3 linked regions of the Sus scrofa genome follow. The protein of the gene in region 3 purifies or fractionates together with the protein of the main gene of each other region. This does not show direct contact. Links are inferred from orthologs where the notes say so. Each region holds a gene or a part of one and is shown on either strand. Other genes may lie near its edges.

Evidence for each region.
Region 1: the proteins of FBXL4 (region 3) and BNIP3L purify together in Homo sapiens (affinity purification with western blotting; 4 studies listed by BioGRID, with this or other methods). This does not show direct contact. The link is inferred for Sus scrofa from reciprocal best matches to the Homo sapiens genes FBXL4 and BNIP3L.
Region 2: the proteins of FBXL4 (region 3) and BNIP3 purify together in Homo sapiens (affinity purification with western blotting; 4 studies listed by BioGRID, with this or other methods). This does not show direct contact. The link is inferred for Sus scrofa from reciprocal best matches to the Homo sapiens genes FBXL4 and BNIP3.

What each region holds. Positions count from the first base shown.
Region 1 is NC_010456.5:10,317,161-10,321,769, reverse strand, and holds the start of BNIP3L (BCL2/adenovirus E1B 19 kDa protein-interacting protein 3-like), read right to left. Parts: upstream 3,083-4,609; 5' UTR 2,977-3,082; coding exon 2,880-2,976; intron 1-2,879.
Region 2 is NC_010456.5:140,369,152-140,373,202, forward strand, and holds the start of BNIP3 (BCL2/adenovirus E1B 19 kDa protein-interacting protein 3), read right to left. Parts: upstream 2,801-4,051; 5' UTR 2,600-2,800; coding exon 2,554-2,599; intron 1-2,553. UniProt on the Homo sapiens protein: Apoptosis-inducing protein that can overcome BCL2 suppression. May play a role in repartitioning calcium between the two major intracellular calcium stores in association with BCL2.
Region 3 is NC_010443.5:65,910,780-65,914,782, forward strand, and holds part of FBXL4 (F-box/LRR-repeat protein 4), read right to left. Parts: intron 884-4,003; coding exon 538-883; intron 1-537. UniProt on the Homo sapiens protein: Substrate-recognition component of the mitochondria-localized SCF-FBXL4 ubiquitin E3 ligase complex that plays a role in the restriction of mitophagy by controlling the degradation of BNIP3 and NIX mitophagy receptors.

The sequences.
Region 1 (4,609 bases), on a different chromosome or scaffold from region 3:
TCTCCCCAAGTTTTCAAGGTCCCACATGTAACTCATCCTAACTAGGGAGTGAAACATGTCATTACGTCTTATCTTCTTTCCTCAAAACCTTTATTTCATCTCAAGTACCTGATGCTGGAATCTGGAATGAGAACAGTCACTAATACTCTTCTCAAAAAAGGTTGACCTTCTTGCACAAGTACCTGCTTATACACCACTTAGGTGTTCAAAACAATATCATAAGGCATTGAAATTTCATGTGTCATGGCCTTGAAAGCCTTCTTGCCATCCTGGGGAAGCAAGTGCAACACAGTAGATGCTTAAAAAGATAAAAAAGGGCTGTAATTCCAACATGCACAAATTATTACCATAATTTTCCTTATATTACTTACTGAATTTTATGACATAAATTCCCAATACAAATATTTGTAAGTGACCTGATAGTTTTCTCTAGAATAAAACTATCAACTGAAAAATGTCCTTTTAATTTTGGAAGTAGTTCAGATATTTGTCCACTAATTTGTAATGAAAGTGAACAGTTCCCTTACAAGGATAAACTTTTTAAAAAAATCAAAGAAAGCTTTCATTATTCCAAATATTTCAATAACTTGCTATTAAAACTCTGCTTTGACCCCTGCACTAAAGATAAAATCCCAAGCCAGAGATAATCTGTACAATGAGTTCATCTCCTGTTTTTTTTCAGAGTTGTGCAACTTTACCCAACAAAGAACTTCAACTTATCAGCAATTTGGATAGTATTAGATGCCTGAATAAGTTGTTCTGCTCAGTGCCCAAAATCACTTGAAGGAATCAATAAGGCTTGTTTTTGTTCAGTCTAGTGTTGTATAATGAGCTAAAAAAACAGTAAAAGGCATGAGGAAAGTAATGAAATATGGCACTATCTAAAAGCTTTTCAGTAACATTGAAAAGCAGCTCACCCTAGCTTAAATAAAATACTTTCTATGTAGCAGACTTCCCAAAATGTGCAACATTTTGATAGCACACACAGGCTGAGTGTTCTTCCACTTCTGTAAGACTGAATACAAATGGAGCAGCAACTGATTGGCCAAGGACATCAAACATAGGTCTGTCAGGACATGGAGAAAAACCATCCCATATAGCTCATCCCCATTTTCCTGTCACATGATCAAAAGAAAATAAAAATCCCTTCACTTTCTGTGAAATTGTGTATACATATTAACCAAATAACCAACTTGTATCATAGGAAAACTGGAATACAATTAGGAAACAGTGTACTAAAAAGAGACAGATCAGCAGGCTACCTCTAAATAACAGGTAGGGTAACAGAGAATAAGAAACACACATAATCAGGGGATAGTGGGCCCCTGAAAAGATGTGTCCTGAAAGGAATGCCAGACGGGGTGAAAGTAAAACCTCCACTTTAGGACATAACCTGCTGTGAACATGGACAACACACTTTACTCTAGGCCTCTTTCTCTACCAGTAAATAAGAGTAGACAGTTACCTCTAAAGTTTCTTCTCATCCTAAAACCACATCCTTCTAAAAGAGGAGGCTAAAAACTGGTAAGTAATGTTAAAATGCATATTCATATTTGAAGCAAGTAATGTTTAAAGACACAAACATTAACCCTAATTTACTGTAGGAATTAATATATAAACCTTACGTTCTAGAACACTTCAAAAAGTTTTTAAAAGTCAACATTTAAGGAATTATCCATCAGAAGGAGCAGCAGCAATAAGGAATGAAAACATCTTGAAAATACTCAAATTCTATCCCCATCTTGTGAGGACAGGAACTCGCTTCCCTAAAATTTTTAGGCCATGCTGAAACACCTCCCTAGGATGAAAGATACTTAAGTGCCTTTGAATGTCATTTAAGCATCCAAATGATTTTTAAACGACTTCATCTGGCCATATGCTAACTGTCCCAACCACCTCTTCCAGGAGATGAATTACAGGAAGGTTAGGCAAGAACCTTTCCAAGACTTGCAGCCAGCTTTAAAGACAACTGGAAATAACCTTAGGACGTGATGTCTAAGCACCAGGATGTTAGGAAAAGCAACTGTAGTTGGTCGTAATTCGATACTGCCCTTAACTTTCAACTGCCCCGGTGTACGAAATTCATTGCCCCAGTCACTGTGATTTGTGCGATCTTGGATGGTTCAAGAGCTGTTCATAATCAGGTTTACAGGGCAAATAACCTCATCGTTTAAAAAAAAAAAAATTACTTGAGCAACTCTGAAACCTCTCAAAAAAAAAGTATCATAGCTTCCTCACCCCCCCTCACGTGATACAAGTAACCACTAAATTACCAAATAATTTTCCTAACCAGTCTGTGCTAACAAAGGGACGCAACAAGAGGGCTCACGTTCCGAGCCCTGGAGGGAAGGCCGACCCAGTGAGGGGTGGTCACCGGGCCTGGCCCAAGCTCCGCTGCACACTGGACCACCCGCCAGTCCCTCGGTCGCCCCCTCCCCTAAAACCGGCGCCTGCGTCCATCCCCCGGCGTCCCCGTCGCACGTCCCCATCCCTGCCCACGTCCCCTAGGCGGCCCGCTCCGCCCACCCTCCCTCCCCGCGCCCCAAGGCCCGCCCCTCCACGCCCCGATTGGCTGCACTCAGGGGCTCACCACAGGTGCGATCGGCTCGACCCCCTGATCTTCCCACCCACCTACCCTTCCCAAAGGCGAACCCAACAGCCCATCACCCAAGAACTCAGAAGGGAAAAGAGAGAGGTCAGGAGGAAGATAAGAGCAACTCCTCCTGACGGGTGATGGGAGCTGTCAATCACCCGCACATCCTCGACCTCGACCAATGGGCTGCCTTCTTTTCCCGCCCCCAGCGCGGAGCTGGCGGCGGCGGCCCGAGCAGCTCCTCCTCCCCCATCCCCTTTACCGAGCCCGCCGGGCCAGCACTTACTGTTGAGGCCGGCTGGCGGGGGCAGAGACTGTTCACCTTCCTCACAGTTGTTGTTGTTGTTGTGCAGAGGAGGCGGCTGCTCTACTAAGTGAGACATTGTCAGGCGGCTGGAAGAGCTGCGACCGCAGCAGTACCGTCTCTGGTTCTCCGGCAGCAACACAACAAGCCGAGTCCCCCGCCCCCTTTTCTGCGCCTGCGCAGTCCCTCCCCCGCCCCTGACGTCAGGGCCCGCCCCAGCCACGTGATGACAACACAACTGGCGACGGGGCGGGGCGCAGGCGTGCCCAGGAGAGCCACGGACTTGGAGACGCGCGAGTCACGGTGACGCCCGCGCCAGGAATGAATTCTTGCATGTCATTTGTATTGGCCGGATGGAGTGAGGTATGCGGCTGGAACCAGGATAGAGGATGGGCACAAGTGTGTCATGAGGAAGTGCAAGGCGCTCAGGCGCTGGCGCCCAAATCTCCCACACCTACAGTATCAACATTGTTTTATCCAATCTGTGAGCATTTCTTTTTTAATATCTGTAAGGACTCAGTCAGTAATAGGTATTGTGCTGACACAAAGAAAGCAAAAGAAGCCCTGGTGCCTCCCCGTCGTAAACCTAAAATAAAGCTGGTGGAACATTGACACTCCAGGCAGGGAACAATAAAGGCAGGCCAGACTTTCTAGTTGTTAAATAATGCAAAAATTTTTCATTACAGACCCCACGCAATCTTTGTTTTAAAAAGATGGAAAAGTTCAGGAAAACATAGAGAAGAAAACAATCATCCACATTCCATCACTTAACAATTTCTAGGACATAACATGGGAAGCCATGTTTCTTATACGTGAGTGACAGTAAACTATGTTCCAGAACACTCGCCCTGCTTCGTATCTCCATGACTTGTCGTTTCCTTGGTCTCATTTATGTGTGGCATTTATCTCAGCCTATCGCTTGTCCTTTAACCCTGTTTCATTCCTCAGAAGTTAAAATTTTCAGGCAATCACATCTATTATTTTCATATGCCTTGGGAACACCCTCACAGCAAGATACTGAATCCAGTCCCTATATATTTTTATAATTTTCTTATAGGTTTAATTTTTGTATTTATACCCTTAATCCATCTGAAATTTATTTTTATGTGTTGTGAATTGCTTAACTTCAGTTGTTCCCAATTGACCCAACAATATTAATTTTTGAGTCATCCTTTTCACACCAAAATGGCACCTCTATCAAATTCTAAATGAGTCCATTTCAGGTTTCTCTACAGTAGCTCTATCAGATAAATATTAGAGAAAGGACCTCCTTTTTTGTCTTTAAAAATTTTTTCATGACTAATTACTCTTCAGATGAACTTTGGGGAGATAATCGACATATTTACAAAGTTGTATACCATTCAGGCTGATATCCCTCCTTATTCTATCCTAAGTTTTTTAAAATGTTTGTATTAAAGTATAGTTGATTTACAACGTTGTGCCAGTTTCTGCTGTCAGAAAAGTGACTCGGTTGTACATATAAGTACATTCTTTTTTATGTTCTTTTCCATCATAGTCTGTCCCAGGAGATTGGATATAGTTCCCTGTGCTGTAACAGTAGGACCTCATTGCTTTTCCATTCCAAGGGTAATAGTTTGCATCTACTAACCCCAAACTCCCAGTTCATCCTTCTCCTTCCCCCTCCCTCACCTTGGCGACCACAAGGCTGTTCTCTAGTCTGTGACTCTGTTTCTGTTTTGTAGATGGGTTCA
Region 2 (4,051 bases), on a different chromosome or scaffold from region 3:
AGGAAGCCAGGGTTGCCACTGACCCCCTTCCACCTGCAGTCACGAGCGCCCTCGCCTTCCTGGGCCAGAAAGATGGGAGCCAGGCTGCTTCACGGCACCGCCTCAGCAGCACAAATAACCTGTCAAGTCACTGGTACAATGAGGCCTCAGAAAAAACAGGTGGTGATACCTCTGCCCAGACTCGGGCCCCTGCCCACACCTGCCTACCACGCACACAGCAGGACACAGGGCAGGTGAGCATGGCAGGTGAGAAGGATGAGCAGCCTCGGCTGCTCATTCGAAGTCACATCACAAAAGGGGCTGACAAGCCTTAGACTTGTTAGCCCGTCTTGATGTTCATTCGTTTTGTTAAAACACAAACTGTGACCCCTTTCTCCACAGTCCTGCCTCCACAGTGAGACGCCAGGCCCTGGGTCCCAGAGCCCCCGCACCCTGGTCTGGGCTGGCAGGCCTCCACCCAGGCTACCGAGGACCGCCTGCGGTGCCCTCCCCGCTCTCTGGAGTCCCACCCCCGGTTCGGAAGGCTGGGTCAGAACCCAGTCGGGGCATTTCCTTTGCAAAAACTCTTGCGGTGATGAAGGTTTGAAAACTGCTAGGCAAGTTCCTAGGAGACAATGGGATCGAGGTCACAGAGGCCCCCGGAGAAGCGCCCCCATCCCAGGCAGAGCGGCTCACTAAGCCTGCAGGCAACCACCACCCGAACCAGCTGGGGTTTTACGAAGTGACAGTTTTAAAAAGCTTCTCAAGTTGGGTGGGACAGGACAGAGGCCTGATGAACCGGGAAGTCGACCAGGCAGGTCACCGAGGCTCCAAGAAGCAGGAGCTGATTAGTCGCACCCTCCGCCTGCCTGGCGAGCGCCCTGTCGCTGAGGCTCCAAGCCGCCCACCAGCACCCAAAGGAGGCGGCCCTGAGAAGTCACTGCGGCCTCATTCACTCCTCTCTGGGCCAGGACCTAGTGTCTGAAATGTCACCCTACTGCACCGGACACATGCGCTACTCACCTTCCTCTCCATGCGCCCGGGCCCCTGGTGGGCTGCTGGTGACAGCAGAACCCTAGGGCTGCAGGAGAAGGGCTGGGGCGGCCTCGGGCACCCCAGGGCACCTCACGGCGCTGGTCAGGCCCCAGCAGAGCAGGGAGGGCGTTCTCCAGGACAGTAAGTCTCCCCCCCACACACACTCTAGCAGCTGTTTATCTGAGGAAAAGGTCGAGCTGCCAGTCAAGAGCTCTGAGCGGGAAGGACCAGGAGTCCAGAGGGAGCCATCAGCTTGGCTGTGAACTCGGGAGACACCCAGTCAAAGGCGGGAGCAGAGGGGAGAACGCGTGCTGCTGTCCGTCGGTGGGGCTACCAAGGCTCAGCGTTCTTTCCAAGGTAAACAAGAGGCAGTCAAACCAAAACAGAGCTGAGGACAGGCGCCACCAACCCGGGCGGGGACTCACGTTTCTCAGGGCGGACCCGGGGCCCATGTGACCCTCTGGGCAGGACCCTGAGCAAGTGCCCCACAGCACGTACCCGAGAGGAGCCCAAAGAGCCCAGCAGGAGTTTCCACTCGGCCTGCAACTGTCTTTTTATAGAATAAACAAAACAGAAAAACAAATCTTTTAACTTGGGAGCTGGCCTTCTGCATTGCCAATGACTCAGCAGTTTGGTGTGTCAATCAAGGAACGGAGATGGGGGCTCTGGGCGCTTAGAACCCTTCCAGACACAAATCTCAACCACCAAAGCACGAGGTCAGAAGCGTAGACGAGTGACCACGGCATCCTCGGTGGTGAGAAAAGACAGATTCAATCTCAACCTGTTTCCAAGAAGATAAGCAGTGTTGAAATTTAATGAGATGACAGGATTTTTAAACTGTCGTCTTAGTTCTAAATGCACATTATACAACGCATTACACCGAGTCTTACTTAGGAAAAGCTTGTTGGAAGGCGTAAGAAAATGTGGCTAAGTTCAGATAACAAAAAGGTTTTCAAAAACTTAAAAATGCACCCGCAAAGGTTTCGACGGTCCTCTCCAAACTTATTTACGTGCTCCCGCTGCCTAAACTCTTGCTTCAGAGGATCCAAAGGTCGCGCGCACGGCCCCTCCTCCAGCCCGCGGCCGCGGGGCTCCCCAGGGACAGGACCGCGAGGCCGGACCCCGCGAGCCCGCTTTCCGGGAGGGGCAGGGGGTCCCCGCCTCGCCGGCCACCAGTCCGCGTCCAGCTTGGCTTTGGAACGACCCCCAGGACGAGAGAACCTGAGCTTCAGGGAAGAGCTGGCGGCGCGCCCCCGCCGTGTCTAAGCGGCCCCCCGACGCTGACCGGCGCCCCGCACCCCCGGCAGCCCCGGCAGCCCACGTCCCCCAGCCGCGCCTCCGGACCGAGCCGACGACGCTGCAACCACGTCCACGAACTCCACCCGCAAGCCAGGCGTTTGCTCGCCGGTACCGGCACGGGCCCTGGGCTGCGCCTCTGCCGTCCGGGGAGGCTGCACCCGCCGCGCCCCGAGCCCGCGGCGCCCGGCCTCCCGGGGGTCCCCGCGCAGCCCCTCCACCAGGCCGCCCGGGCCCGCTCACCGTGCAGGCTCTCCTCCTGCAGCCCGGGGGCCTCGCTCTGAGACATGGCGGCGGGGCGGCGGGGGCCGGAGCCGAGCTGCGGCCGCAGAGGGACGGGGGGAGGCGGCAGCGGTGGCGGCGGCGGCGGCGGCGCGGGCCTAGCAGCTCGAGCGCGGTCGGCCCGCGGCCCGACTGACTGACGCTGGCGGCGGACGCACGGCGGATAAGCGGCGGCGAAGCGGCGGCGCCGCCCATTGGCCGCGGGGCGGGGCCTTCGAGGGCGCGTGCGGCGCGTGCGACGCGTGCGCGGGGCGGGGGCGGGGGAGGGGTCGCCTGAGGAGTGGAGCGCGCGTGCGCTGGCCGGGCGGTGCGGAGGGGGCTGCGCGTGCGCAGGCGGGACGGGGCGCGGGGCGGGGCGGGGAGACCCGGGCCGGGAGCGCGCGCCCTGGGGGGCGAGGCGTGGGAAACCGGCAGGTGCGTGTCGGACGTGCGGGCCCCGCGGAGAAACCTAGGCCGGCGGGAGGCGGGGCCTGGCGGGGCCTGGGCGTCGGTGATACTGCCTGAGGCCTGACCGCGCTCCCTCTGACCGCGGGGAGGAGAGCAAGGGAGGCGGGGCAGCCAGCCGAAGGCGGCGCTGGCAGTTTGGCCGGCGTCCTGAGGCCACCAGCCGGTCGCCCCTCTCAGTTGACCGCCTTTTGTACGTCAGCCTGGCGGGAAGTCAGATCAGAATCTCTGGCAACAGGTCTGGGATGCCGCACATCAGCCCTGTGACCACAAGGCCTAAATGGCCAGGACTTGATCAGCGATGACAGCTTCCCCGACTTCGGTCCCTGCCTCCAGCTCAGGACCAACCAGAGAAAGACAGATAGGACCAATATTTGCGTCCCTAGCCAATCGCAGGGACGCGGCGGATGCTCATGAGAGGGGCATCAATCTTGCTTTCTCTCTGGATGTCCAGGAGCTGGCCTTGCTTTCAGGCTGACTGTCCTTCTCATTTTCACTTGCTCATGGTGCGTGGAGCCCACGCCGCCCCTGTCCCAGCGGCATTCTAGTTGGGTGCAGCCAGGAACAAACAGAACAGCGTGTCCCTGCAGAGGCGCGAATTGCAGTCTCTCAGTGTTCCCACCCCAGCCCTCCCCAGGCGCCCCTCCCAGCTCCTCGGCCCCTCTTCCTGGGGAAGCAGCTGCGGTATTGAGCCTTAGGGCCCACAGACACCCTGTGTTTGGCCATCATTTAGGTGTTCTTTGACTTTTTTCTCAGCAGTATCTTGCAGTTGTCAGGGTTCAGGGCTCGCACATCTTTTGTCAGAGGCATCTCTAAATATTCATACTTTTAATGTTATGGTGACTACCGTTGTTAAATCTCATTTGATTGCTTTTTGAAAATATATAGGAATATGGATTTTAGTGTCATCACGTCTTGCAACCTGCTAAGCTCACTGAAGTTTTTTATAAGTCCTCGAAAAGACAGTGGCACCTGGTTTTCCTTCCCCATGTGGAACCCTCTACAGCTTCCAGCA
Region 3 (4,003 bases):
AACAAGACTCTAGGTAAAGGCACTCAGTACCTGCCTAGACCAAAAATCATAGCTAGTGAGAAGAACATGGAATAGGGTTAAAATAGAAGAGTAAATGACACTTGGAGAAACTGCGTACTGTTAAAGAGAATCAGCATTCCTCTCGCAATCTTACTAATACTCTTATTTTTAATAGCAAATCATCTTTAACATAACTGGTATCAAGTCAAGTACATATTGCCCATACTTACATGGTGTAATTAGGAATTAAAGTGGAGTGTAATTTATTATTGGTTTATGCATTCTGGTTATTGTAAATCAGTGGTAAGATAACATATACTTAAAAGTTTACCCAGGATCACTAAAATCAAGCCAAAAAACAAAAGCAGTGAAGTTACTTAAGACAATTTTGTCTAGTTTTTCCAAAATCAAAATACACAATACAACAGATTATGTGCACCTTGCTAATGCTCCTATTTCTCTAGCAAAATAAACATTGATATATAAACATTTAAAAATTATAGTATGTCGAATATTGCTAGTGAATATCTGGCTTACCTCATAAGGTAGTTTATCAAAATATCCATTACTTGGCCCTTCCCTGAGGGCAATACTGCTAAACTTTTTGTTCAGATTGTCCATTCCACAACCATCCTTTTCTTCATAGTCATCTTCATCTAGATCATTCATGTCAATAAGTGAAGTCTTGAGAGAAAGCAGTGGCTTGTCCTTCACACCATGTAATACAACTGCATCTAATTCAGTGTAATAATCCAGAAGAGAACTATTTACTTCCAGCCGTATAAGATTTGTGGGGAAATTTATCTGCTTAATACAAGGTTTAAACTGGCGAGCCTGGGAAGCATTCACCTTCGTAGGTTTCTCTGACCAAAGAATCTCCCATCTGCCAAAGAAAAAAACTCCCCTATAATACAGTTTAGAATGAGATTTACTGTTATTAAGGTTAGGGGCCCAGCCCAATACATTATAGTGTGAAGCAAAGGCATTAAACACGGTGAACAGAATCAAACCAAGTATTATTTCCAGGACATGAAAAAAAATTTAAAACCTAATGCCATAGACCTTATTACTCAAAATACTTTCACTATTTAAGTTATTTTTACAGCTCCCTAGAAAGTCATGTTTTGGCAGCTTTCACCTTGGTTAGTTAAGACCTGAAATGGTAGTCAGAGGTTCTGAACAACATTCAGTTTTACAGAAAGAGTAAACGTGAAGTAGTAAAGCACACAGTTGAAAGCTCTCCTGTGTGTGTGCCCTAAACCCACAGTGGGAGCTAAACTGATCACCGTGCCTCACCAAGTTCCCCTTTACTATTTGTTACTGGCATCATACACACTCAACACTTTCATTATCTTTGATTTCCCCTTATCCAGTCATTAAGTTTTATCACATTTTTCAAGAAATTGTCTCTTATATACTGCCCCTCTCCTAAATATCCATTATTGTCATCTTCTGGGCCTCCTTGTATCCTCGTGGGGATACCTGGCCAATATCTAACATACGACAGGTGAGTAACATCTTCTCCTATTCCCCCAAAACGAACTTCCACTTTTCAGCCAGGCTGATCATTACTTTCCAGATAATAAACTTATTTCCACACAAAGGTATGTGCTCATGTTGCCTCCCCGCCAATGAAACAGCTAACCTGTAATTATCTGCCCATCTATTCTTCTTGACATAACTTATATTCTATCTCTTTATATCAGTCTTCTTATAAAATTGTTTTCCAAAATTATTTAAAGATTCTTCACAACACAGCATCATTAGGTATATAACATTCTCATATATATGGTATAAATACCCAGTTCTCTAATATTTTTCTGAATATATCAGAGATAATTAAAGACATAGACAAAAATATTTAAATGAACATCTCTCCCCTCTATTTACTTTAGTTATCAGAATATTTAAATAAAGATTTTATATCAAAGGCTAAGAACACTTAAGTCTCCCAATACATCCTATGAACTGCTTTCAAAGAAGTTTATGCCAACACTGTATAAGAATGATCACTGAAACTATTCTTCATTTTTAAAGGTTTTTTTTCCCCCTCCAATATATTCTCAGTTCATTTCCTTGGCCCAAAGGCCTATTGAGATCTAAGCAAAAATTGATGACAGCAAGGCATTTAGGAAACTGAAATAGACAAGAGTGTGAAACTCAGGGGAGAAATCTGAGCCAAGACTATAGAAGTCAGCAACATACAACTACCATAATGGTCTTTAGGCCAAGACAGGAGCAAGAAAGGCATAAAGCACAAATCTCCAAAGAACGGAGAAGGTAAGTATGGTAATTTCCACCTTTAGGTATAAAAGCATAAGGCATAAACTCCATGGGGATTCCAGTAAACATCTCACCAACCGTAACAGTAGGAATTTTACGGTTAACAGATCCTAATCACCCCATATTTGCTACATTTGCTACTTCTCTCCTGAAAACTAGGAATAAAGACATAAAGAGCCTGTGAGTATTTGTACTTGGAGACAATGCGAATGCAGGAATGGAGAGGCTGGTTCTGCTCTATAACCAACCTTGGGAGGCAGAAGAAGAGTTCTAAAGAATAGCGCAGGCTGTGGCAGATTTAAGGAGGAAACGAAAGGAGGCTAAGCATCTTCTTACTTCCTGTGACAAGGCAGAAAAGCAAATGTGGAATGCCAGCCTAGACCTAAGATGTGCCGCTAGAGCTTAAATGCAAAAATCTTGAGAGTTTCTAACAATGGAATTGATTCGAACGTTCTACTGAAAATCCACACAGTTAAACAGAGCCAGACATACAGGAACAGAAGTATGAGACATTTAAAACCATGTTAGTGGGAAAATGAATTCCTAGTTTTGGACAGTACATTTCCAAGAAATGGTGGAAGGTATGAGAAAATTCAGATTTTCGGTTCTGCTCACCCTTTCGTTGCTGCTGGAAAGTGACATCAGTGGATGCTGGAGAATGTCTCACGTCCAAGAAACAAGGACCACTCAGGACCCTGTGAAATAACTGCCTATACGGGTTCACAACACGTGGACTAAACCAGCCTATTTTATTGTTTGGCTTCAATGAGAAGTTTTTATGAGGCTTAACAGAAACACTGAAAATGTAATATAGAAATCACCTCTGCCAGGTCCTTTGCAATAAATAAAGACAGACAAAACATGTTCTTCATGTATAGCTTAACCTGCATCATAATGCAAATTACATTATAAAATTACAAATGTAAACTTAAACACAAGCATTGATTAGAGCAGAAATAGTCTATTGTAATAATGCATTAATCTATTAAAGTCCTCTCTCTCTTCACCTTGCAGAATAGACAAGGTTAAGATGATGCTTTAAATTGATTTCTACTGTGTTTAAACCTATGAGGGTTAAAGCTATTTTAGCATCATTTTTGCTTCTGACTTTTATATATCATGAACATTACATATTTAACATATAAGTTTAAATGTGATAGCATACTTAAAGTGGAATATCAAATCATCAGTTTTTAGAACTATTCTTAAATGTCTAAATATAAAAAACTCAAACATGTTTTTTTACATTTATGTTTTATTTATATTTTATTTTTATTTTTGATAACCTAAGAAGTAACAAAGAAGAATGGAAAAAAGATAGAATAAGTATTTTATAGGCCTGTGGTCATTTGAATTAAGTTAACATTAACTATGAGACCAACACAAATTGATTTTGGAGTAGCTGTATTAAATTGAATTTTTGTTCGAAATTCTAATAGAACTAGAATACATTATTTTAAATTTATAGAGAGGAAGAGATATGTTTACCCAACAAGAGAATATGCCAATATCTTTTTTTTAATTACACTGTAGTTGATTTACAATATTATATGAGTTTCAGGTATATAACATGGTGATTCAACATTTTTATAGATTATACTCCACTTAAGTTATTATAAAATAATGGCTATATTTCCTACGCCAATATCTTTTTATTCTAGGAAACCAAAGCCAGAGTTTTAAAAACTAGTCAGTGAAAACAAGAAAGCAAATACATACA